Oreochromis niloticus: one gene and its partner. The protein of the gene in region 1 interacts with the protein of each later gene in a biochemical or structural test. Links are inferred from orthologs where the notes say so. Each region holds a gene or a part of one and is shown in the gene's direction. Other genes may lie near its edges.

Evidence for each region.
Region 2: the proteins of ibtk (region 1) and btk form a complex in vitro, tested with the Homo sapiens proteins (2 studies listed by BioGRID). The link is inferred for Oreochromis niloticus from reciprocal best matches to the Homo sapiens genes IBTK and BTK.

Annotation. Positions count from the first base shown.
Region 1 is NC_031976.2:14,393,775-14,406,602, reverse strand, and holds the start of ibtk (inhibitor of Bruton tyrosine kinase), read left to right. Parts: upstream 1-6,454; 5' UTR 6,455-6,623; intron 6,624-6,967; exon of another isoform or gene 6,968-6,991; intron 6,992-7,235; 5' UTR 7,236-7,776; coding exon 7,777-8,100; intron 8,101-8,256; coding exon 8,257-8,353; intron 8,354-9,579; coding exon 9,580-9,704; intron 9,705-11,120; coding exon 11,121-11,231; intron 11,232-12,505; coding exon 12,506-12,676; intron 12,677-12,828. Other genes in the region: tpbg (trophoblast glycoprotein), read right to left, coding at 2,021-3,337. UniProt on the Homo sapiens protein: Acts as an inhibitor of BTK tyrosine kinase activity, thereby playing a role in B-cell development. Down-regulates BTK kinase activity, leading to interference with BTK-mediated calcium mobilization and NF-kappa-B-driven transcription.
Region 2 is NC_031966.2:17,462,085-17,474,640, reverse strand, and holds the start of btk (tyrosine-protein kinase BTK), read left to right. Parts: upstream 1-4,847; 5' UTR 4,848-4,978; intron 4,979-6,541; 5' UTR 6,542-6,619; intron 6,620-7,544; 5' UTR 7,545-7,596; intron 7,597-7,841; exon of another isoform or gene 7,842-7,846; 5' UTR 7,847-7,864; coding exon 7,865-8,005; intron 8,006-8,130; coding exon 8,131-8,235; intron 8,236-8,814; coding exon 8,815-8,896; intron 8,897-9,007; coding exon 9,008-9,133; intron 9,134-9,219; coding exon 9,220-9,281; intron 9,282-9,370; coding exon 9,371-9,558; intron 9,559-9,973; coding exon 9,974-10,036; intron 10,037-10,222; coding exon 10,223-10,277; intron 10,278-10,400; coding exon 10,401-10,480; intron 10,481-10,806; coding exon 10,807-10,934; intron 10,935-11,330; coding exon 11,331-11,402; intron 11,403-11,819; coding exon 11,820-11,991; intron 11,992-12,164; coding exon 12,165-12,384; intron 12,385-12,518; coding exon 12,519-12,556. Other genes in the region: rpl36a (large ribosomal subunit protein eL42), read right to left, coding at 1-1, 1,634-1,756, 2,965-3,032, 3,661-3,766, 4,350-4,352. UniProt on the Homo sapiens protein: Non-receptor tyrosine kinase indispensable for B lymphocyte development, differentiation and signaling. Binding of antigen to the B-cell antigen receptor (BCR) triggers signaling that ultimately leads to B-cell activation.

The DNA of each region.
Region 1 (12,828 bases):
TCATGACACACTGCTCTCCCCTCCATAAGCAGCCTTAATAAGTCAAAAGTATTGGTAGTGATATCGTCAGTGCTGGCCCTGTATTTATTTGGTATCACATCGATACCAAAATTTGCAGTATCACACAGCATTACCTGCCGCGTCTGTCAGGTTACACACAAAGCATCAACACCAACCGGAGCACCAGATAACACAGACAGCGTTCCACATGACTTCCCTTTCTGATATCCAACAAGTCTAACCAGACACATCCAGAGACAGTCTCAACTACAGCAGCAGCAGCAGCTGATGACAAAAGCTCTTATTTTTCCCCCCTACCCTGAAACACACAGATGTGCAGAAACACGCAGGCCTGGCAAAACTGTGAAGGAAATCTGTGCAAGAGGCACGCTGCGTGCACTGGAAATAGCATGCTGCGGGCAACGTGAGGCCAGTCGTTAAAGAAATTTAGGAATAGGGAGATGATTCTCTGTAATCGCTTTTTTTTTTAAAGGCCAAGGAAGTTCACAGTTGTTCCTGCATGCAGACACAACAAACATCATTAATTTGTACTGCTAGACGGCAACACGCATGGCATCCCCTTCAAAGGAATACCACGCATTATTAAATTATTAATCCATACTATAGTGGACAACATGAAAAAAAAGAAAGAAAAACACTCCAAAACAACAGCAACTGACAGTTGAGTAAAAACACTAATGACTTACTTCCAGGGATGCAAGTTCCCCTAAAACAGGGTTACATGAAAAGAAAAGCTGCTTGAGCTCATTTCCATAATACCTCCGTGTGCCCCCATGAGCACCAGCATCTCTGGTTCGGTTTTCCTTCATTTGCATGTGCCATGGAGCGACACGAACACTGAATTTTTCCTGGGTTTTTGCAGCTGGAGCATATTGAAATGCTTACAGTAAACGCTGGTAGGAGCTGTTAGTGGTGAGATTAGTCTTCTGGCTGCAGTGCAGGCTCACAGACATTATTCTGGGGGGGGGGGGGGGTCGCAGCAGAGCCAGTGGTTCTTTATCAGACACACAGCGTGAAGTAAATTGGACCGGAGATAACAGTTGGGCTACTCTCATCACCTTTAAACCCGCAGACAGAGGCTCATTTGAATTCAGGACGTGTCCTCTATTCAACATCAGAATTTGACTCTTTTCCACAGAAAGTTGCTTGTTAATGAGAACACAGCCGTACACTGTTACCCTGGAGATACTATAAGTGGCAAAAGTGCAAACGTTTCACACATTGCTGAGCTCGCTGACAGCTGGAGTGAGATTTAGTGTTTGTCATGTGGTTTTTAGCCGAGCTGTGGCCCTGCCTCGGGAATGTAAGTGTGTGCCCGTGTGCCCGTGAACTCCTTCATCACAGCCTTGGGATCACGTTCCTCAGTCTTACAATTAAAAGGCCCTCAGTCGAGACAGATACCAGCAATCCAGAGGCATTTTATTCAGCTGAATATCATCACAGGAGAAAAAAAAGAGCAATCACATCCACCTAATAAATCCGAAGAGCTAATGCAGTGTGCACTATAATCATTCAAAAGAAGGCATACTGTATTACATGTTCACGTATTAAAAACAAACTCAAGCAGTGTAACATTTGTCTGCAGCTGAGGCTTTACGAGAAGGATGCAACGACTGGCAGCGTGTTTTCACCAACTATTCTTTCAGTTACAAGTCAGTTCCCTTCATTCGTTTATCCTTTAGGGGAAAGTAAAAATAGAACATATCACTCTTTGCAACTGTCCAGAAAACCCCTTTGCCATGACTCATTGTCCATGCACTGTTACACAGAGACAATGCTGCTGACATCGCAGCTGCCAGGTGACTGGTACGGGACATGCGGCAGTGGCTGATGGGGAAGTCACTACGGGGTGGGTAAAAAGGAGCGGCGACAGGTGCAAAGTCTGAGTATTATCATGGGGTGGGGGGGAGGAAGACTTTCATGCAAATCTTAATAGTATAAAGTCATTTATTATCTCACTGCACGGTCCCAGGCCGATGCCACGCTGTACGCCCCCTCTTCACACATCTGAATTGATGCTCAGGTTGGCCAAACGTGGGTCAGAGTTTATCTCATACCTGTAATGATACCCCTCCATGTGGTCCCTACAAGCATCCCGGATGTTGTACATCCACCGTTTGATGCCCTTTCTGTTCAGGTAGAGCACCAGCAGGAATATGACACCGATCAGGGCCAGCACCAGTCCCAGGAACACGTAAGAAGTCCCCAGCACACCCTTCATCTCCATCGAGCACTTCAGCTCGTACTTCTCCAACTGCAGAAGCGGCTGGTGTCTCAGGTCCTTGGGGTTCGTGCAGGTCAGGTTCTGGACGTCGACGACCTGAGTGGAGTTCTTCAGCCACATCAGCGTGTCCTCGATAAAGCAGTTGCAAAGCCAGGGGTTCCCTGCCAGCTGGATGCGGAGGTCCGGCTTAAGGCTGAACTCTGCCATCATTTTGCTGGACAGGTGTTTCAGGCTGTTGTTCCTCAGGTCAAGTTCACGCAATGGGGGCACTCTGAGAGTCCCGTTGTGGATGTTGATGATGGAGGTGTTCTGCAGGCTGAGGCTGACCAGGCTGGAAAGATGAGTGAATATGTCGCTGGGAAGAATCACAAGGTCATTGTTGGACAGGTCCAAGACTGTAAGATTGACGAGGTTCCCGCTGCGCAGGAAATTTAGAAGCTCATCTGTGGTGGAGTGATTGTGCAAAGACCTACTGAGGTTCAAGTGCTGCAGTTTAGTGTCATTGGGGAAAGCGCTTTCATTGAAATTCTGGAGTGTGTTGTTGCTCAAGTCCAGCCGCACAAGGTTTGGCAAGTTGTTAAATGCCATCGTATCCACATACTCCAGCTCATTCCCACTGAGATGGAGATCTGTTAATAGCTCCAGGCGGGTTGGGAAGGAGTCCCCACTAATACGAGAAATGCTGTTTCCTGACACAAATAGAATTTTGGTGTTGTTTGGTATGAAATGCGGAATCTTGTCCAAGTCCTTGTTTTGGCATTTCACAGTTTGTAAGGAGCACAAGCATTCCTCCGGGCACCCGTGACCGGACGGCACGATCGCGAGGAGGAAAAGTAAAAACATCACGCCGGACTTTCGGAGCCTCCCTCGCGTGCCTCCGCAGTCACTATCGCACAACGTGCTTAACATGCGCCTCTTGGAGTTTGAAAACCAGTGTGCGCAGAGCGTGCGTAAAGAAATCGCTTTTAAAACAATCCAAGCGTGCGACCCCTGCTTCGTTGTTCGTCCGCGGTGTGGGGAACAAAGGAAAGTTTTTCTAACACTGTTTCCCACGTTTATCCTTTCGAAAAATGCCCCTAGTTCCAACTCCATACAACTACCGCCACACCATCCTTGTTTATGATGAGTCTACATTTCAGTGAAGCAGGCAAACTTCTCCGATCCTGTTTCTTTGTCTTCCCAGTCTCAGGCTTTTCGGAACATTAGAGGTACAAGATATTTTTCCCCTTTTCCTTAGCAAAACAAGCAAATCCAGAATATTTCTTTCTTCTTTTTTACATCCAGTTACTTATTCCGGCTGCTGGTTTCCAAACAGACAAAACTCTCGTTCTCCCAGAGGTGCCATATATTACATACGTATTTCCAGCATTCCGCTCCTCCTAATCGTTGCGAGTCAAGAGGTAAAGACCAACCGCAGCAGCACAGTGCAGACCATTGCAAGGAGGGAGCGTACCATTATTCAAGAAAAGAGGGGGTGAACAGAAAACTCCCACAAGTTTTCTTCGGCCTTCAGTTTTAATTCCACGGTCATGATGATGCTTATAAGTGGTTAATTTTTTTTATAAACCTAACCCGAAACTCTTGTAATATTCATAAATTGGCTCGCAGCTAACCAGTATGTATGAAGAGGGCTGAATAGTTCATCTTAAATGGGACACGGGCTTATGGATAGTTTAGTGTGGAAGTGTTAACATTCATTTTATTCCTGAAAATCGCAGTTACTTTCTGTATTAAATAATAAAATGTTCTATATAGTCTCAAAAAATCAAGAACAGATTTAAAGAAGCAAACCAGTCTGGCTGTTGGATTAAGAACGATACACAGCACTGTCATTATTAGTATTATGATGTGAAGACATTATGAAGATGGATGGAAGGGTTTTGTGCTCATGCACACTTCAGTTGTTTTCTTACATTTTAAATGTTAATATGTCGCTGTTCTACCCTACAGGAGTCTAGGTTTCCTTTTATGAATAACTGTAGCGTTTGAATTGAATGACTTGTCAAACACAAGTTGAAAATAAGTGTAATGAAGCTCTAATAACTCATGAATAAAACTGAAGCGGTACTTGATATTCTAACTACAAAAAGAGGAGGTGACCCTGCATGAGGAAAGGGAGGGAAGGTAAAGGATTATCAGTCCTTATTGCATTTATTAATTCTAGTTTTTACTAAGCCACAGACCATGAATCAGTATTTTGCACTATTTAGTTAAAAGGGAAAAAAGGTGCTTTCATGTGGTCTCTTATGTCAAAGGGTCACCAGATGCCCTTGCTAACCTACTCATCTGGGGACAGTTTGTTTACATGATGAATCTTAAATGTTCCACTTTACCAACAAAAATCATCCCACTCAGCTGGAAATTTTTACTTGGACAAATGAAGGTAACATATAAACATATAGAGTCTAGCAAGGTATTCTTGTCCCACTTTACATAAAATCATTCCACCTAACCATAACCACTTGTTAGTGTATTCATAAATGGTATTTCTTGAACCATTATTCCTTTAGGTAGCATAGGAGTGGCTTTGTTTGTTTGTTTGTTTGTGTGTGTGGCTGGAATCCTGTGGGTAAAAGTATCTTGATTTAAAGGCCTACCTTAATGTTTAAAATTCTGTGCAGTTCAGCACAAATCACATTCGATAAGACATAGTCTCCATGAAAAAAACCCACACATCTAGCCTAAAGGGACTGAAAAGCCAAAAGAAAAATGTTAATGGAAAGACATTCATCACTTGATCTACTGATAATGCCTCATCACCGAACATATATTTAGTGCTATTTATAAGAAAGGGGACTTTTGTATGATTCAAATGCTTTACTATTTCTTTTAACCATCTATGAAGATAAATGAGGAACATCGTGAAGATTTTTTGCATGTCAGCAAAATACTCAATTAAATAACAATAAAGAAAACACAAAAAGTGCCTGGATATTGTGTATTAATATAGTACTATATGTGTAATATCTAAACATGCTTTTGATCCCCATTAATTATGGCATAACTGTTTGGCTGTAATTGTACTTGACTGGGGCCTTGTAGTAGAAGCATCATCTGGGCAATTGAACAAGATTCATAAGGAAAGCTTGAACGGTGAGGGAGGGAGTGCTCATTAATATGGCATATTTAGGAGCAGCCCCTAGTGTGTATCTGAGTGTAAACTTAGCTTTACCCTCCTTTGACCCTCTGCTATTCATAGTCCTGGCCAATATGACAATTATCTGTTTAACTCCATGAAACTTGGATTCTGAATATCTAACTATATGGTGCTTTTCTGGAGAACCTACAAACTTTACATCTTCTGGTTATATTAACGCTAAATGTGGCAAACTCAAAATGTTGATCATCACATAAGTTTTCATTCACTGTTGAAGAAACAATTAATGATCAGAGATGGTTTTTAAAACCTTTCCTATCCTATTAGTTTATCCTCAAAGTTTATATTTAAGTGTGAATAGTATGAGTCATTTAAAAAATATTCAACAATGAAATCTTGCTTCTATTGAACACTTATTATTGTCTTTTCTCTTGATTAATCTGCAAGCTTGTTAAGATGTAATATTTATGGTATGTATGTTTTCATTTTTTGTTTTTATTATGTTATTATTCATTAACATATGTACAAGGCACAGTTATTATAGTTTTGTATTTTCTGATTGGTTTCTGTTTTTATTTCATTTTGACTTTTTGTTTTTAATTCAGTTTAGTTTTAGTTTCGCTCCATACTGGGTTTTCTTTTTTCAGTTTATTTTTCAAACTTTTTAAAAATTTTAACAGTCTTGTAGACACACAGAGTCATCAGCCAAACTGTAACTATGATAATAATAATAGTTATTATTATTTATTTTTATTTTCATCAAACTAAGAAATACTAAAACTAAGGTTTTCCTCTATATTTTTTATTTTATTTTAGTTAGTTTTGAGGTCACAAAATCGTTTCACTTAGCTTTATTTTGTTTTCAGAATGTTGTATTTTTATTGTAGCTAACTAAAAAAAATTATATGCAGTTTTAGTTTTTTATTTAGTGTTAGTTAACCAGAATAATCTCAGCCAGACCCTTCTCAATAATCTTGGTATAGGAAACTAAATGTCCAAATCGCACTTTATGACATCACCCACAGAGCGACAGCACACTCTGAAATCAACTGACCGCCCCAAAAATCCGCCAATAGGACATCAGGATGCAGGAGCCGTGGCCAATCAGAAGTCTTGACATTGATGCAAGCTCTCTTACCTAACCTGCAGGGGCAGATTCCTGTCCAAAATTCTTACCGGCGAAAAAATGCATTGCGTTTTCCATTTGTAGTAATGACACAGTGGATTTACGTCGTTGATGCTACTTTCTCCATGTCCTCTTTTTTCTTTCACTAGCGGAAGGTAAGAAATACCCCGACGTTCATTTCCTTCAGCTGTTAGCAGTTTGCTAACGTTAGCTTGCGATGATGTGTCAGCTAAGCGAGCTGTCAAAGTAGTTTTAGGTAAATGTCTTTAATTAACTATACTGGGCTGATTTTCAAACTTGTCCAAATCGGTGCGTTTATCCCGCTTTGAAATTATCTATGCTGCAGTACCCTGTTAGGCAGGATGAGCTAATATTACTGGGTGAAGTAGCTGCTGTGCACAGCCTGCTTCTGCAGCAAGTTAGATAAGCAATAAGGGAGATACGACTGTTTCTATTAAAGAAATAGGTCCACTACGGCCTTAACATCAAGGGTGTATTAGCTTACCATTAGCTAGACCAAATGGTGAGTGGACAATAACAGCAGTTAACATTAAGCTAAGCTAAGTTAGCCTGTTACATAATCGTGGTGATTAGTCAACATTAAACCTTGTAAACTCAGCTGACTCGAGCTACTTAAGACTGATTTTAGGGCAGGCTTGTTCTGAAGTTTACACTTTTGTATTTGACTATTGCACACGTGATTACATGTAATCAAAATGAGGACGCTGTTTTGTCACTAATGTGTGCTTCAACTTTTTCTCTTTTAGGTACACTCTACAATTATGGAGTTGTGAAAAAGAGGTGTGAAAATTTGGGGGGGAAGGTGGCCTTTCCCCTCAGGTTTGATGGTTGGGACTGCAGAAGAAGGTCAGAGGGCTGGTGAAGTTGTTGCCTTTTGTACATAATTAAATGAAAGACTATTTTTGCAGATGTTGTACAATTTTTTTTGTATAAATTCATAAAGAAGTTTTCTATTTATTAAATTCCTGATGCCATTGTACACTGCGAGCACCCAGCCTTGTGTGCGGTCCTTGGTCGAAATGGTGGACTGAAACGAGTCACGCAGAGGCTCTGGAGTCGCTAGGGTGCGGTGGAACCTCAACACAAGCACAATTCTAGCACTCCAATCTACCTCGGCTGTTTTATTTTTGTCCTATTTTTTTCCAGATTTTTTTGACAGTGTTTGTCTTGTTTGTTGCCACACATTACATTGTTTTTGAGTGTGTTTGCCATTATCGGTGGTGGGCTGGCAGAAGGACTTTGCAAAGAGGAGAAGGGCTTCACTGTGAAGATTTGTCAGAGGTCAGGATGAGTCAGGCACCGCTGGACTGCACCCCCAAATGCCGCTCACAGCAGCATGCAGACCAGGTGGTTGCTGCACTAACAAGTGGCTCTGAGGGGCAGCTCCGGGCTTTCCTGACTTCACACTGCCACAATGCAGCCACTTTGCGGGATGCCTTCGGTCGTACAGCCCTGCACCTGGCGGCCTCACTGGGTAAGAAGGCCCTGCTGGAGTGGCTGCTGGAAATCAAAAGTGCTGACCTGATGCTTAAGGATAAGGAGTCCGGCTGGACCGCTCTGCACCGCAGCGCCTTCTATGGACAGATCCACTGTCTCATATCACTGGTCAAGGTGTGTATTGATGGAGTGCCATCAAAATTTACCAGTGTGTCTATTAAATTATTACCAAGAAGAAACAGTCCAATCAAAGCTTTCAGTACCGTAAAATGACAAACATTATTCTGAAGAGACTCAAACTTTGACCTACATTTGAATTTTGTATTGCAGCACGGGGGACTTCTTTCCACCCAAGACAAGGAGGGTCTTTCAGTCCTGGACTTGACCATGAAGGACCGCCCATCACATGTCTTGTTTAGAAACACTGGTAAGAAAAGCCGACACCCTCAGACGCTGCTTTTAATGCTTTGGTTTTGTTTTGGAGATGTGTTACTTCGCTTGTTCAAAAAAGAAAAGAAACTTGGGCCTATACTACGATTCAATATATATGTGATATCTTTGTCTTTTCTGTCTTCCCTTATCATATCACTGGTAACAGTTAAGTGGTTATCGGCTGGATCAGTCAAATGTAGCTCACATTGAAGAGGCTGTGTTGGCAGCATATGACTAACCACAAATAGGGACAGGTCCGATGGCAACTGAGCAGTCTATTTTATGATGATCAGATTGTAATAGTACAAAAATACAACCACCTGCTGAAAGCAACACAGCTGCTGCAGCCAAATAAGCAAAATGCGAGTGTGTGTGATAGGCAAAGTGCTGCACAGTAGTTCAGTGTTGAAAAGCTCTGTGTAAATGTGTTTAAGTGCACTCTGAGCTTTGCTCACTGAGACCAGAAAAGCTCACTGTGTCAGGTAACAGACTTATCATTATCATAGCTGTGTCACTGGGACACAGGCGATTCAGACATATAATTACAATTGCGTATTCTGTTAAACAGTCTGTGTTGTGTGACGTGTTTGTGTTATTCTTGCAGCTGAAGCCTCTGCGGTGTTTAAAAGGTCTGAAAACAAATAAAGAATAAATATAAAAAACAGAATTTAAACCAGTAACCATGTTTAGTGTGTTCGATTTGATTCAAAATCACCAAGTCAAGAGCTAAAATTCTCCACTTTACTATCATATTGCTATATTGAGGCTTATAAAATGTTTTAAACAGTTAAAAAAAATCTTTAAAAAAAAGTCTTATTCATATTCTGCAAAGAAAGACGAAACTTTAGGTAGTCTGCAAAAGTTCCTAACTGCACATTGTGGACCTCAGTGTGTATGTAGTAGGTTTCCAGGCTTTTCTAGGAACAGTTATGTTATTTTCCAGGGAATGGATTGGTCAGCAGGTGGTTGTTTGGTATGCGTTGATCTCCTTTGTGGAACAGAGCAGTCCAGAGCAGCCTAGGACTGCTCTGGACCGGCAGGCTGCAAACCTAGGCCGCCTGTCAAGAGCAGGCTAGGTTTGCAGCATATGTGGTGTCTCACTGAACCCCAAATCCAGTTTTGCACTACAGGCCTCTTTAGTTAAATCGAACATTAGGTGGAAACAGTGTTTTGGCTTTTTTTTTTTTTTTTCTTTAAATAGTGTTTCTTTCTTCACCTTAGACCCAACTGAAGTTTACACGTGGGGAAACAATACAAATTTCAGCCTCGGTCATGGCAATCAGGAGAGCCGACAGCACCCTGAGCTTGTTGATGTCTTTGCCAGGACTGGAGTTTACATCAAGCAGGTAGGCTAACAACGCATTGCCGTCTTAACATCTCTCAAGGGAGTGGGTACGTGTTTTCCTACCTCACACCCTGAAAACCCAACTCATGTGTATCCCTGTAGCACCAGGAATGCTGTAATAGCTCCGTGTTTTGACTGAGTACCAAGATATTACATTAAATTAAAAAAAGAAGAAGAAAAAAGCCAGTGCACATGGGTGTTTCAGATAAGCCACATCACTTGGGTAAAACCAGTAAAACACTCCTATCCCCAGAGCCACGTATTACACCACCTTCTCCTCAGGGCACCTGAAAATTTGCAAAATGTTTTTTTTTTCCTCCCCCTTTCAGCTGTCCAGTACTGTTTAGTCCACAGCAGCTGAAATAATGCTTATGTTGGAGAGCTTCAAACTGTACCTGCGATAAATGTATTAAGTTATACATTAAAGCATATTACATAATATAATTTGGCATATTGTATTGAGTCATGGCCACATTTCCCGGTTCATCTAGGAGGTGGGGGGATCAGTAATGTTATTTGAGTCTAATACAGCACATTGTTTCTGTATCATCAGGCGTGGTCTGCCGTCTCTTGTACAACCTTCATTTGTGACTTAGTGGAGCTGGTCTGTACATTGTTAACCCCTGCTAGCTGAACTGTGCCAAGCCAGGCTACAGTTTCATGCGTTTGTCATGTCTAGGCTCTTAGTGTGATTAATATAGCTCCTGGAACCAGTTCAATTACCCCCAGTGGCCTGTGTACCCAACGGGTGTCGGAATAAGATAAGACTGTGTTTGCTATATTTTCACTTTCTGTTTATCTGTTGACTAATAATTTATCTGTGCCTAATGTTGTATAATTGCTGTTTACAGCTGAAAGTGTGAGGGTTGTTCTTTTTCTTTTTTTCCCTCTAACCTGCAGGAGTCATTTCATAAAGCTAGTTGGGGACAGGTGGATCTGATTTCATGACCATTTCATGACCCAGTGAGACTCAGTGTAGTCTTTGTCTTCCTGGCCCAATCCAGCAGGTGCCAGAGGTTAAATATTAATTCCACAATGACATGTTTTTAATTAAATGAGCTATACTCATGTGTACGCATGTGTGTGGATGTCCACATCAATGCGATACTTCAGGAGACATCCCTGTGCTCTATTGAAGGCTTGAGGGGAGCGATGTATTAGTAATGATGTTTGCTTTTCCACCTGTGCCCTGGCCTTTTATTGCCGTAGTGTTTTACTATCGCTACAAGAAGGGTTGGCCCAGGGACATGGAAAGAGATGCATTGCAGCCTCGGACGTGAGGTCAAAATTATAATGACAAGAGCATTAATCAGCACAACCAAACACCTCGTAATTTTCCTGTAGTGGGATATGCAGGCTATTAAAACTGAAAGCAACAAGGGGATACCACAATTATGTTTGTTTCTTCTTTCTACAGGTGGTGCTGTGCAAGTTCCACTCTGTGTTCTTGTCTCAGAAAGGCCAGGTGTTCACCTGCGGGCATGGACAGGGAGGAAGGCTTGGCCATGGAGATGAACAGACTTATCTGGTGAGATCTGGGCATCATATCAAAATCCCCCATATATTTAAAACGAAATGCAGAATTCCTTCCTCTTTAATGAACAAATATATCAATGCATTATCATCATAATCATGTGCTTGTGCATTTTATTGCTTCAGCTACAGAAAATTTAGGTTTCAAGAAAAAGTGGTTTTGAAACTTGATCTGGATTTGATATTCATTTAAATCAATTATATTATAATTATAGACAAACACAAACTGATTAAACAAGTAACGCATAAATAGTTTTACTTTTCAGGCCTTCACTGAACACATTCACAGATAGTCCAATCTGGGAAAAAGTCAGCAAATCTTTTATAGTAGGTTGTAGATCAGTAAACATTCCTTTATTGTGTTCTGTAGTTTACAGAGAATTCAGCAATATTGTACAGATTATGTTTTCCTGTTGGATTTGTTGTTGTCAGTAAAATATAGCATTTTTAAAAATAAAACAATTAATCATGAGATTTAATGCACAAAGCTTAACAAAACTTAACTTCATACATCACATTGTTGTTTGATCTTGTGAGCATCTACAGTCCTGAAAATCCTCTATTTTTACTCTTCAGCCGTAAAAGGCTGATGGGTTATTTTCGTCACTCCACTTCGCCCTCAAGTTCACAATCTTGGGTGTCCACATCACCCAAGTGACGTGATTATTCCCACCAACTTTTTTTCTGTCTTTTCTGTAGAAAAGCAGATTTTGTCAGTAACCAAACTGGAGGGGCACTCAATATCTCCTTGATTCAAACACATATTTTAAGGAGATTTTTAAAAGCTGTCAGCACAAAGGTTCACCTTCTTTGTTCAGTTGATACTTTTCAGTACAGGCTGGAAAATGTGTGTTCAATAAAGCCACAAGAAGTACAATAATTGTGTTCACTAGAAGATTATGGTTGTCTATGGGACTTAGAGATGGGGATGGTAAGTGAGAGAGGTGCTTGTATCGCATCTGTAACTTTAACTTTATTAAGATATATGGTACAGAAATGCCATTAAGTCTGTTACGCTAAATGCACGGTCTCATTTGTTTTCTGAGCTTTTAATGGTTTAACCAATAAAATGTATTAAAGCTTATTTTCAAGCCCTGTGGTATCAGCCTTCTGCTGATACAAATTTAACACTTCTTTCATGTACTTCAGATCGGCTTGGAAACAGTTATTAAAGCCTCTGTTTCTCTCTCTTTATTTTGTTTTATATTTTGGTTGATTTTTTTTTTTTTTGTCTCATTCCTTTTTTCTTTTTCTTCTTCTTTTTTTCAGGTTCCTCGAATGGTAGAAGGCCTGATGTCCCATCACTGCTCCCAGGTGGCAGCAGCTAAAGACCACACAGTGGTCCTGACAGAGGAAGGCTATGTTTATACGTTTGGTCTCAACACATTCCACCAGCTGGGCCTAGTTCCTCCTCCCGCCTCTGCATTTGTACCTAAACAGGTAGGAGGTAGCAGTGGGAGCTGCTGATGTTTTGCAGTGAATCCATAAAGGATTGGTTTACCTTTAATTAATTTGGTCATTATTAGTATATAAAATGACCTTATGAATTGATGTTATCTGTTTGTTTTGTTTTTTTTATGATGTAATGATTT
Region 2 (12,556 bases), on another chromosome or scaffold:
CCTGTAAGAAAACAGAGGGAAAACATTTGTGAGAATGTGCAACTTATATTTGGATTAATTTACATTGGTGATTGCCATGAATTTATAATTAAATTCTGACTTTTGTACTGTAGTTGATTAAGACTAAATAAAACCCAGTATCTTCACATTCATCAGCTTTACCAGCCTGTTGTAAAGTATTGCCACATATGCAGACAGAGTGGATATGACTTAACCTTTGTTCTGTTGATGAGGAAGACAGTAAGCAGCTATTAAATAGAGTAAATGTAAAGTCTGATTAATGAGGTAACCCAACAGATGAATACTGAGTCATGGGGACACAGGAGCCAAAGCACCTTGAGGAAACTGTTGTTGCGATTTGAAACTGAAATAAAAGGTAGCCAATCATGAATTTGAGAATCATGAATTAGAGCTTGTATTGAAGGAAGAAAAAATAATTGATGTTTAAGAAAAAATAAAGAAAAGGAGAAGCTCAACAGCAAACCTTGTAAAAATAAATAAACTATAACTGTATTGACAGTATATATAATGAGATCAACTCATGCATCGTATTTTAACCACCACAATAAATCAACACCCAACCCAGAGTCACCATCTCATCAAAACAAATACAATTTACCACTAACCACAAAAAACAACAAAAAGAAAAACAATCTGTCACTGAAAGCAAAATATGCTCCAGTTAAAATCCACGATGGGCTGCATATTTATCAAGTCCAGCAAACAAACATTTCCTAATGCGATTGTGTTGCTATAGCGTGTGAAATGCACGCAGACGCATTTACTCATGTGGCCATGCCTCTTTCACAACTCAATTTCAAAAGCCGTTTCTCACTAATTACATCGGAAAAGGGTGGGCAGAATCGAGTCGGGACACGGTCAGAGGTGGCCCTTTCCCTCGTCTAACACACAGAGCATGTGTCAGACGCTTTCAAACTACTGGAAAAAACTGTTGGGGGTATTTTTCCCACCTCTTGAAGAGTGTTGCCTAGGCAGAAGCTTCGACAAATATTCTAAAATCCACATTTTTATATGTACATGTGAAAAATTAAACAATTGCCAGAACGAACAATTTTGACAGGAAACGGGATGACTAGAGAGTGAATAGGCTCAAGATAATTACATATCCGATCCAACTGCATCTGGCATTTGCATTCTCGTGCACCTTCTTTGGATATCTAGCAATATCCATCTTTAGCGTGCAAGGCTACAGTGCATGTGTAACAACAGCTTTATACAAACTATTTTTTCTGAACAGGAAATCCATGTTTAGGTGAAAAACCAGCTGATATGCAAATTGTGCATTTTTATCATGCTGTCACCGCGTTACTTCCGTAATTTATCATGATTAACACAACAGATGTCAATATGTCACATGAAAAACTAATAGTGGGTTATAAACATGAGGTTATTAAATTTTAAATGTGTAACAAGATAATTACCTACAAATATGAGAAGTCAGAATATTTTGATAACAGATTTCTGTGGGATGATTCTGACACCAAACTGTAGCTTTAGCAGAGATTAAACCCACTCTGAAAAGTACTACTGAAATAAAGTTAATATAAAGAATATGTTGTAAAGAATAGTGAACTTTAACCTTTACAATACCAGGGACATATGTGAGTCTTACCTTTCTCTTCTTGTCACCACCCAACTCGAAGTGCTTACATCTCTTGATGGCCAGCATTCTCTTGGATCTGCAGTTGGGCTCCACACACTCGAGCCTCAACACAATCTTCTTTGTAGTCTTAGCCTGTGTGACAGTATTTCAGTGAGTGTCATTTCCCCTCACATATCTCAACACAATCAATCCAACAGTACAATGCTGTGAGAAAGTATTTACCCTTTTCATAATCATTTTTTTCCTGTGAACTTGTCACACCTTAGCATTTTAACACTAGATAAAGATAATCTGAGTAGGGCTTGCTGTTGTGCTTTGGATCAGTCCTGCAGCATAACCCGAGGGCACTTACACATAAGGGCACAAACAGACGGCTGGACATTTTTTCTTTAGGATTTTCTGGCAGAGAGCAGAATTCATATTTCCATCAATTAAAGCGGCAAAACAGCCTCTGACCATCACACGTCTGCCACCATGTTCGATTGTTATGTATTTATCAAATGCTGTATGTTTTATGCCAGATGTAACATTATTTACATTTTCCAAAAATTTCAACTCTTTTCTCGGCAGTCCACAGAATATTTCTGTCTTGGAGTTAAGCAAGATGGTTTTTGGGGGGGACAAATGTGAAACCATTTGGTCAGTAATGGTTTGTACCTTTAAACTCTCCCATGGACGCCATTTTTCCCAACTCTCTTCACACTGTTGAACCTTGAACTCTGATCTTAACTGAGGCAAGTGAGGCCTGAAGTTTTTTAGATGTTATTCTGGGATCTTTTGTGACCTCTTTGATGAGCCATAGATGTGCCCTTAAGAGTAATTTGGATAGGCTAGCCACTGCTGAGAAGGTTCGTTACTGTCCCCAAGTTTTCTCCATTTGTGGATCATGGCTCTCTCCACCTTTCCAAAGCCAAAGAAATGCATTGCAACCCTTTTCGCACTAATAACATCAATGTCTTGTTTGTCATCGTTTCTTGACTCCCTTAGATTGTGGCGTGATGTGCTGCTTTTTGATATTTTTAAAAACTTAAAACCTCTACAACACATTGAAGTAAGTGACTTCTTCATATCAACAGATATGGCAGTATTCACGCCTGGGAGAGGCTATTGAAATTTAACTCAACTACCCCAAAAATGTGGCTAATTACACTTAAATCATGATTTCACACAGGGCAAAGTAAAAACTGTGCTTTCTAATTACTTGGGTTATTTTTTTATAATATTAAAAATTAGTATGACGATGATCTCAAACTTTAAAGTGTGACAAAATTAGCAGAAAAATATAAATCTGGAAAAGGACGCACTTTTATTACAGCACTGAATGAGAAAGCGATGATTACCTTTTTTCGGAAAATCGGCTTAGATTGACCACCATACCCACTCTGCTTTCTGTCGTATCTTCTCTTACCTGAAAAACATTTAGAGTTTAGTCAACACATACTTGAACAATTAATAAAATAAAGCAAGGATGCACTGATGCATGGGTTCAAAACAAAAGATTGTAAAATGTCTGCAAATATGGGCCAATTTCCCTTCTGTGACAGGAAAAAGATTGCAGATATATTAAGTGCTAAGACACTAATCTGATTGATTTATCAAAATATGTGACATTATATATATTATATCTTTGCTTATATTAGTAGGTAGATGTAGTAAGCAGAATTTACGGAGTTATATATAAAATAAAGAAATGACCTGTTTTCCAAGAATCCCTATGACTCTTTGTCATATGTACACTTAGCTGTACCCTGTGTTTTACACGTCATCAAGCCAGTCCTTTTTGGCTACCTAAAATATATTTATAGAGATGCTGTTAAATTTGGTGCAATTTGTTCTACACTCTTGCTCAAATCTACTGAAAAATAAACTTGTAACTGCTTGTATTTTGTGACAGGAACGTTCTTTCTGGCTCATAGTGACTTGATATCACTTACAAAAGATGTGTTTGACAGATCACAGGTCAATATTTTATATACAGACACTTTTTTGGCGTTAGACACCAGTGCATCCCTTAAATACAGGACAAACATATTCACCCTGTACATAAAGAGAATCCTTCCCCTTCTTGTACTGGGTAACTTTGTGGGGCTGGTGCTTCTTGCACTTCTTGCAGAAGGTCCTGCGGGTTTTCGGGACGTTCACCTGCACAACACAGAGAATAACATTTGAGCAGACGTGCAGTATACACAAAATACCACAACGCGGACTAACTAGCCACGTCCAACAGGCCCAAGCCATAAAACTCACAACACTTATCAAAAATAAAGCGCACAGCTATAAAGAGTTTTGTTAAATCATTTTCGAAATTGACCTTAATACACAGAAGCACCGAGTTTATCATTTAAACTGTGGCCGGCAGTGTTGGGGCAAGCTAACACGTTAGCATCGCTATTTTAAAGAAAACAGCGTAAACAAGTGATGCTCCAACACTTTTTACAAAGCAAAACACTTTTTGACATAGCTGTTAATTGATTTTAATGTTTAGCTTGTTTTGTTTTTTTCGCTTCTGACAGAAAGGCCGGTTGGAGTAGAAAAACCAAGTGACGTTTCTCCACCAAGATAGCATCCATCAATATCACAACGTTAAATACACCAAAGATGGCCAATACCGCCATCGTTACGCACATCGTGACATTATCAACATAACCGGGTGTATCAAATACAGAAATTGTACTTTAATCGGCAGGATTGAGTTAGATTTGTTTTAGGTGTAATGGTAGCATACCATGGCTGCAACCCGATGCAGAGGGAAAGAGGAAGAAGGAGGCCGGAAGCAGTTCTTAAAGTCGCCGTAGTCGACCTCAGCCGTAGAGAGGTCTGCCCCCTAGCGGCCGGAGATGCAAAGAAGCCAAAACCATAAAAAGACTGCAAACACCCCAAGTTTTAAGGAGAGTGACAGCCATGGAGTCCACAGCATAAACCTGACAAAACTCAGTGCCTCAGTAATATACTAAAACACAAGCTATACGTTTTACTCACAGTGAGTAGGCTTTAATTCCTGCAGAAGTTATCATTTTGAAATATCTTTTAACAACATAATAAGCAGGTGAGAAACTAAGAAATCCCCTCAGGTTACAGTGTAACTATATGTAACAACCAAATATGGCCTCACATTAATGTTTAGCCCGCTTCCACTTATCAACAAAACTGTCCAGAAGGCTGATATGAAAATTAGCAGCAAGAAAAAGGGGAAGTAAGCCCTGTCGATTCCTCTCTGTGGGTGTGTTTTAAGCTTCTTGCATCACAGACCAACACACATTTTATGGAAAGCCAGCTACTGAGGCAAAGGTCCATGCCACTCTTCAAGCCTCAGCATCTGCAGTTGTCTGATGTGTGTCATTTTTCGACATCTGGGTAAGCAGCACTTGTTTCTAAAGGAGGTATTTTTAGTCGCACTTTGTTCACAGAACTATAAATGAGAGAAGCAACCTTTGAGTACACTTCATCTGAAAGGCCGAGGCCAAAAGTAGCATAGATTAGTGCAAGTACTCAACTGAAAACCAATGTAATTTCGTTTGTATGCAAATCCTGTGAAATAACCAATGAAATTATGAGTCCACAAGTGACATTTTCAGCTTAAAGTCTAAAGATTTATAAAGTTTTGAATGTTTTCTGGACATAAATGTACTGTTGTGCGCTGACAGAGTGCTGATAATCCTTTATGTGCATACACTGACATTATTTATCAAAGTGCTTTCTTTGTAGCAGAAAAGTGGTTCAATGTATAGCAAATCACTATCACTAATCAGGTTGTACTTTCACACAGTTACTGACTCTTCATGGCAGATAGCTTGGATTGAACTGTCATAGATTGTATTATCATTTTTAATACTTACATGTGCATCATGGGAAATTCTCGTATTCTGACAAATAGTTCTCACAAGTTACCACAATGTTAAACTTATGTGGTATTTTAATATGCCTGAGTATTCTTTGCGGTTAGAATCAGTCTTGTGACATTACTCACTTTTTTTTCTTTCTTTGTTACGTATGCTCACACAGAGACACACGCAAACACTCATACACAAGTGCGCATTTTATTGCACATAGCACTTATCTACCAGGAAACATCAGGAAACACAGCATCTTTACAGGTTCCTGTTAACATTAGTCTTTCATGATAAGCTTGTGTCTGCTGTGTCATTCACATCAGACATCACGCAGTCAAAACTTGTGCACTTTAGAATAAAAAAACAATAATGCCAATAATGATAATTTATAATGATTTATTTGCTACTTAATTGCCTTTCGCACAGAGGGTGTAGTGACACATTTGGCCTGTTTTAGATTATACAGTCCAGGTCACACACAGAAGAATAAATTACAAACGGAACCTGCAAAAACTGGTAGATTACATGCTTTTCAAATGTCCAAATCATGCACAGCAACATTTAAAAAAGAGATACTGTCAGGTAAGAAGAGGTGCAGGCCACAGGGTTTCTTCTCTCTTCATATTGCAACGCAATACTGATGCAACTTCCCTATGACTTTGTCTGTGTCAGCCACCATGAGTCAACTCCCAGCAGAAAAGGCAAAAAAAAAAAAAAAAATCTCTGAGTAGCCATGATGCATTAGTAGCTGCACAGTTCAGTCAAAAGGCTTCACTTATTTAGAGGCACATATCACGGTTTTGGGCGTGCGCCCTCAGAGTTTATTGACCTTCACTCGAGTTAGTGATGTGAGAAAACACGGGTCGTGTTAAATGAGGAATGAGTAAACAATGTTTCACAGAATAGGGAACACCTCTGTCTGCTCATGAAGGCACAAACAACACCAGCAGGTAGTGTCACTCGAGTGTGAAGAAATGTCAGACTTCGTTAGCAGAGAGCAACAGAAGCTTCTCGTAGTGCTACAGTTACAGTTGAGATGATAGAAGGAAGTTCTCTCTCTCTCTCTCTCTCTCTCTCTCTCTCTAAGCTGAAAATAGGCTGAGTTGAAGTGCGCACACATCTGACAGAAACTGACACACAGTGAGCATTCGGCCGTGTAACGAGGGTGAGTCTGAGAATTTGATAGTTCACATTTGAGCGGTAACCGGTAACAAATAACTTCCCTGCATTGGTGCACTTTTGTTGCACTTTTAGAACAATGTGGTGATGGGAATACCTTGGCTTTTCTTCTGGTCATTTGGTGAGATTTTAGTTTTAGTTCTGCATTGGTCAGAACCAAAGAAGACTTTGCTTCCCAACCTATCATCAACATCAATATCTTTCAGCTTTGTTTCCATCAGTTGTCGTGATTTTCTGCGTGTACCGTCACTGCAACACTATTTATGCTGAATTAAGTTTCAGCTATCTTTATTTCCCCTAAAATATCAGGCTGTTAATGTTGCTATGTTACTAATTTCCACAAAGAGAAATTATTGTATGCTCCCCTTCACTCAGATTCTATCAATGTGTCTTGTTTTGGAGGTGCAAGTTTCATTTCAGCGCTGGTGGTTAGGAGGTGCTGCAAACAAGACACACTACACTGCCATAAAGCAAAAAGAGAGCCTTTTTCATTTGCCTACTTATCTTATGTGCGTGGTAAAATGTAGAAATGTGCCCGAGGGGAAGGAAGCCTTCTGATAGTAAGAGTGATATATTACATGATATGTTTGCCAGCAAACAAATTTTATTTAGAAATAAAATGGATCATGTCTAGACTGTATAGTTATATAAAATGAAAGAACTATACTACTGTATTGAGCCAGGTTTCTGGATCAACAAATCAGGCACTTGATATTCATTCCAAAGGCAAAGACGAGTTAAATACTGTATCCAGATGACCAGGATGTAACAGCTAAGAGAAACAGATGTGCCACAGAGGCAAATGTTGGAAACCGAGGATGTTGCTGTCAGGAAAAGCAGGGCTTATGCAAACTACACCTAATCACACAATGATATGCGCTAACACTGCATGCCTGTTCATCTCTTTCCAGATCTCCACTCTCACCTGTTGTAGTGGCACTGCTCCAACTCTATGAACAGTGGGTAGGTATTACATTCTTTAAAACGCTTTTCAAAGGAAATGAAAACACTGAATAAGTGTAAAGTTCAGCAAAACATGAGGCTTTATTATAATGCTGAGCACAGTCACAATGGGTGAGCCAGTCACAGCTCTCAGCAGAATTACGGATGCTGTTATAGTCGGGGTGAGAACATGCTGTTTAGTGGAGAAGCCCTGTGTTACGCCATGATTAGTCTTTTTAAACGTATCCATTTGTCACTTGTTCCAGTGTAGCTGAATCCTGATTGAATCATGTCAGACTCTATACTGGAACAAGTCTTCATTAAAAGATCTCAACAGAAGAAGAAGACCTCACCTTTAAACTACAAAGAGAGATTGTTTGTTCTCACAGCAGAAAAAATATTCTACTATGACTTTGACACAGACAAAGCGGTATGTATATAGAACTGAAGAAAGGTTTGTTTCATATTAATGTTGGCTGGCAACCTTGAGCCACTAAATAAACACTTGGGTCTTTATCTTGGACTTACCTGACTGTTTCCTCTTCTGTTAAGCAGAAGCGAAAAGGTCTGAAAGGGTCAGTTGACCTAGAGAAGATCAAGTGTGTAGAGACAGTCCAGCCAGAGCCCAATGCCCCACAAGAGCGCATGTATCCATTCCAGGTAGATATTTTTCAATCCAATTTTCATTACTGAAGTTATAAACAAGAGTCAAATGCAAATGCTTTGTACCTGATTAAACTTTATATAAAATATACACTTTGCTTGCTTTCACTGCTATCTCTTCTCTTGTTTAGCTTCGGGCCAGAACACATAACAGGAAGATTGTATAAGAATAGAGCTGCAGAAAAAGAACAACAACAAACACTTTGTATTAAAAAAAAACACGTACAAGCAGCACACAGCAGCATAAGTGAGGCTCTCCAGGGACTGTTCAGTGCTCCAATAGTTAACACTGTGAAAGTTAATTGTTAAGAAGTGAAACTTCCTCTCACACTCAGATGAGCTAGGGGCTTTTAGTGCCAATGTTGCCATAAATAGTAAAAGTTCAAGCTAAACATGTCTTAATTAAAGAAAAAGCAAAGTAACACTTTGTGGGTTCATGTGTTGAATTTCTGTGAACGCATTTGAAGAGACTTTTGCCACACTTGCAGCCATCTATTCTGCAATACCAAACTTGAAAAAAATAAATAAAAAAATACTGAAAATTGCCGTCTTGCTCCGCTGTGGATTTTTCCATAGGTCATTTATGATGAAGGGCCACTGTATATATTTTCTAAGACTGAAGACATCCGGGCTGAGTGGATAAAGAAGCTCAAAGAATGTAAGCGTGCATGTATATTCTCTCACGCCGTCACAGTATCTCTTATCATCTTTCATGAACATGACCATATCTTGTGTATCTGAAAAACTCTGTGATCATATGCGTGTACAGTGGTGCGCTTCAACAGTGATCTGATGCAGAAGTACCATCCGTGCTTCTGGGTTGATGGGGTGTGGTTGTGCTGCCACCAGGAAGTTAAACAGGCCATGGGTTGCAAAGTGCTCGATAGTAAGAATGGTGAGAATTAGACTCCCCTTAGTTTAAAGTCTAAAATGATCAGGTCCTAAACTTTTGAATTAATATATCAAATAATGCCTTTACAGGAGTGACATCACAGCTATCTCGAAGGTCAACAAGGAAGCCGCTTCCTCCAACCCCAGGAGAGGTATAGACCTAGGACTTTGAGATGAACATTCACCAAGTACACACTGTTTTCTTCTATATGAAAAAAAGCAATCTTTTTTTTTTTTCCAGAAAAAGCCTACTCGTCCTTTACCTCCACAGCCTCCTGACCCACCAGCTTCCTCTGCAGGCATGACAGTTGTAGCTGAGTACAATTACACACCCATGACAACACAAGACCTGGAGCTAAGGAAGGATGAGGAGTACACCATCCTGGAAAAGTCCGATGCAAACTGGTGGAGAGCTCGAGACAAATATGGGTAAGCTGACTGGAGGTGACCCAAAAAGTGTCTCGTAAGAAGAGTGTGGCCGCACGTAGCCCATCACACAAATCATAAATCAAGCGCAATCAGTTTACCCTGGAAACTTACAATGGAAGCTAAAGTAAACCAACTACAAGCGCTATAATGATAAAGACAGATAATCAGTGATGATTTTGAAGCACACAGATTAAAGATCATTCATATAAGAGAACGTTCAAAAAGTGGCTTCCGGGGCTACACGGCTCGTTAGTTCATAAATTTTGCATAACGAGTAGAAATGAACTTATATAATACATGATTCACTTGAATGATTTGTAAAAGTTAGAATCTGCTTGTGTTAACAAATATTTTAAGGTCCAGCAAAAGCTCACATTTTGCATGTGCCATCTGTTGATGTTCTTTTCTTTTCCAGGAAAGAGGGTTATATACCAAGCAATTATGTTGTAGAAGCTGAAGATGGGCTAGAAAGATTCGAGTGAGTATCAGTGTTATTGCTTTGCCCCTAAATAGGTGTATTAATGTCACATATAGTTATAAATTTTATTCTTTTTAACCTAATTCATTCTTTGTTCCTTATCTGCACTCGAATTCATTTCTTATTGTTGGACTAATACAACAACATTCAGGAAGAATTAAAAATTGTTTATTTTTTTATTGACAGCTGGTATTGCAAGAATATGAACCGTAGTCAAGCAGAAAAACTGTTAAAGGCTGAGGTAAACCTATGACTGTCATTACCAATGTACTTAAAAATGTAGATGTGACATGTTGCTCCACTTAAAAATATGTTTCCGGACTGTATTTAAGTCAAAACTTATGAAATATGTTGTTGTAATCAGAACAAAGATGGAGGCTTCTTGGTACGGGACTCCAGCAAGGCTGGGAAATACACTGTGTCTCTGCTCACAAAGGGTGGCGGGTGAGTAAGCTTAGTGGTGTTAAACACTGCTACCATTTATATAGTGTATCCACTAGCTCCAGTCATGTGTGAACGCATGAAAAGAAGAACTGTTTGTAATGAAAGAGGAAACAGTGGCCCGCAGAGGGAGAGAGATGTAAATGACTTATGCAAAACTAGGACTAATGTGTCTGCGGTACTTTTTTTTAATTCCAAGACTGAGCTACCCTGTTCAGAACACTGAGGAGATTTTACCTAATTATGCATATATGATAAATGATTCCTGTTCGGTGGTTCCAGTGAAAACGTGCGGACTAAATCTACTCGTGTTACTCTTCTCTCTTCAGGGAAGCTGTTGGAAGCTGCCGACATTATAACATCTGCACCACCCCGCAGAGCCAGTATTACTTGGCAGAAAAGCATAATTTTAACACCATCGCAGAGCTCATCAACTATCACCAGCACAACGCAGCAGGTCAATATAACTGCCCGGGTCATATGGATACATAGTCTCAGCTTTAATACTGTGGTATTTGTTACACAATAAACTCATTTTCAAATTTGGTTACGGTAACAGGAAAAAGGAAATGAGTCATAAGCAAGTTTGAGTGGGGGTTAGGGGGGGCATTGGACATTTTGTGGGTTTAATTATTCTTTTTTATTATTAATTTCCACTTTATTTAACTTAAATTTACAGTTGCTTTTTAATGCGAAAACACTTTTTATTTTCCTTTTTTAACGTCTTCTGTAGCCCTTTCACTCACATCTCAAAGCTCAATGAATTAGTTCGTCCTTACAATCCATACTCCAGTCATCCTATCAAAAATGACTATCTTAATAGGTAATGTGGCTTTGTTATCTCCCCCACTAGGCATGGTTAGCAGACTGAAACACATCGTATCTAACCGGGCACGGCCCCCATCCACAGCAGGCCTTGGTTATGGTAAGATTATGACAGCACTTGAACTGCAGATGAAATTTAATTACACCTGCTTTTTTGGATTATGAATGTATTCTTTTTTATCATAACAGCTTTCAGAGAGTGTATAAAAGCTAACATGTAAGATACTGATTGTTGTTTTAACAGTGTTTTGTGCTATTAGTATATTTGGCAAAGTTATTACATTTTTGTGCATAGCATTAGATCAGAAGATTAAAAATGTTTTTCTGTCTGTGCACCCGATCACCTGGTTTTTAGTTTGATAAAAGAAAAACTTTTTCTAGTGTTTATGGTAACCAAGAGTGGTATCTCATTCATCTCTCAGCAGCAGCGCTAAAAAGATATATACACCGTGTCAAGCAGTTATTTTAATGAGGTTGTTGCATGCTAAAAGAGCACAATCTCTCTTGTTCGACATAGGTGTGTGGGAGATTGACCCACGCTACCTCACCTTCATCAAGGAGTTGGGATCTGGACAATTTGGAGTGGTGAAGTATGGGAAGTGGCAGGGACAGCATGATGTGGCCATTAAAATGATTAAAGAGGGCTCCATGTCAGAAGATGATTTCATAGAAGAAGCAAAAATCATGATGTAAGCACAACTAAATGATAATAGCTGAATATCTAACTCACTATAAGATGAGTCTGTTTGTGCACAAGACTCATAAAACTGATCTGTCATATTGGGAATGGTAGTTCCTATAATGTCTTTGAGGAAACCCAGCTCACAGTGCTTAAGTTCCTTCTTCTTTTTGCTCAAACAAGGAAGCTTCGCCATGAGAACCTGGTCCAGCTCTACGGCGTGTGCACCAAACAAAGGCCTATTTATATAGTGACTGAGTACCTTGCAAACGGCTGCCTCCTCACATACCTCAAGGAGGGCCTGAAGCAGCACCCAACAAGCATCCAGCTGCTAGAGATGTGTAAAGATGTCGCTGAGGGCATGGCCTACCTCGAGGCACACCAGTACATCCACAGAGACCTGGTGAGAGACAATGATCCACTGTGTCAAAGCTTAAAAAAGAAAAATCCCACTGCTGTCCTGTTTGCTATCCAAAGATAACGCTGAAGGTTTAATGATTATTCCTGAACCAAAAGTGTTGTTTGTTTTATCTCCAGGCTGCCAGGAACTGTTTAGTAGATGGAAATGGCACTGT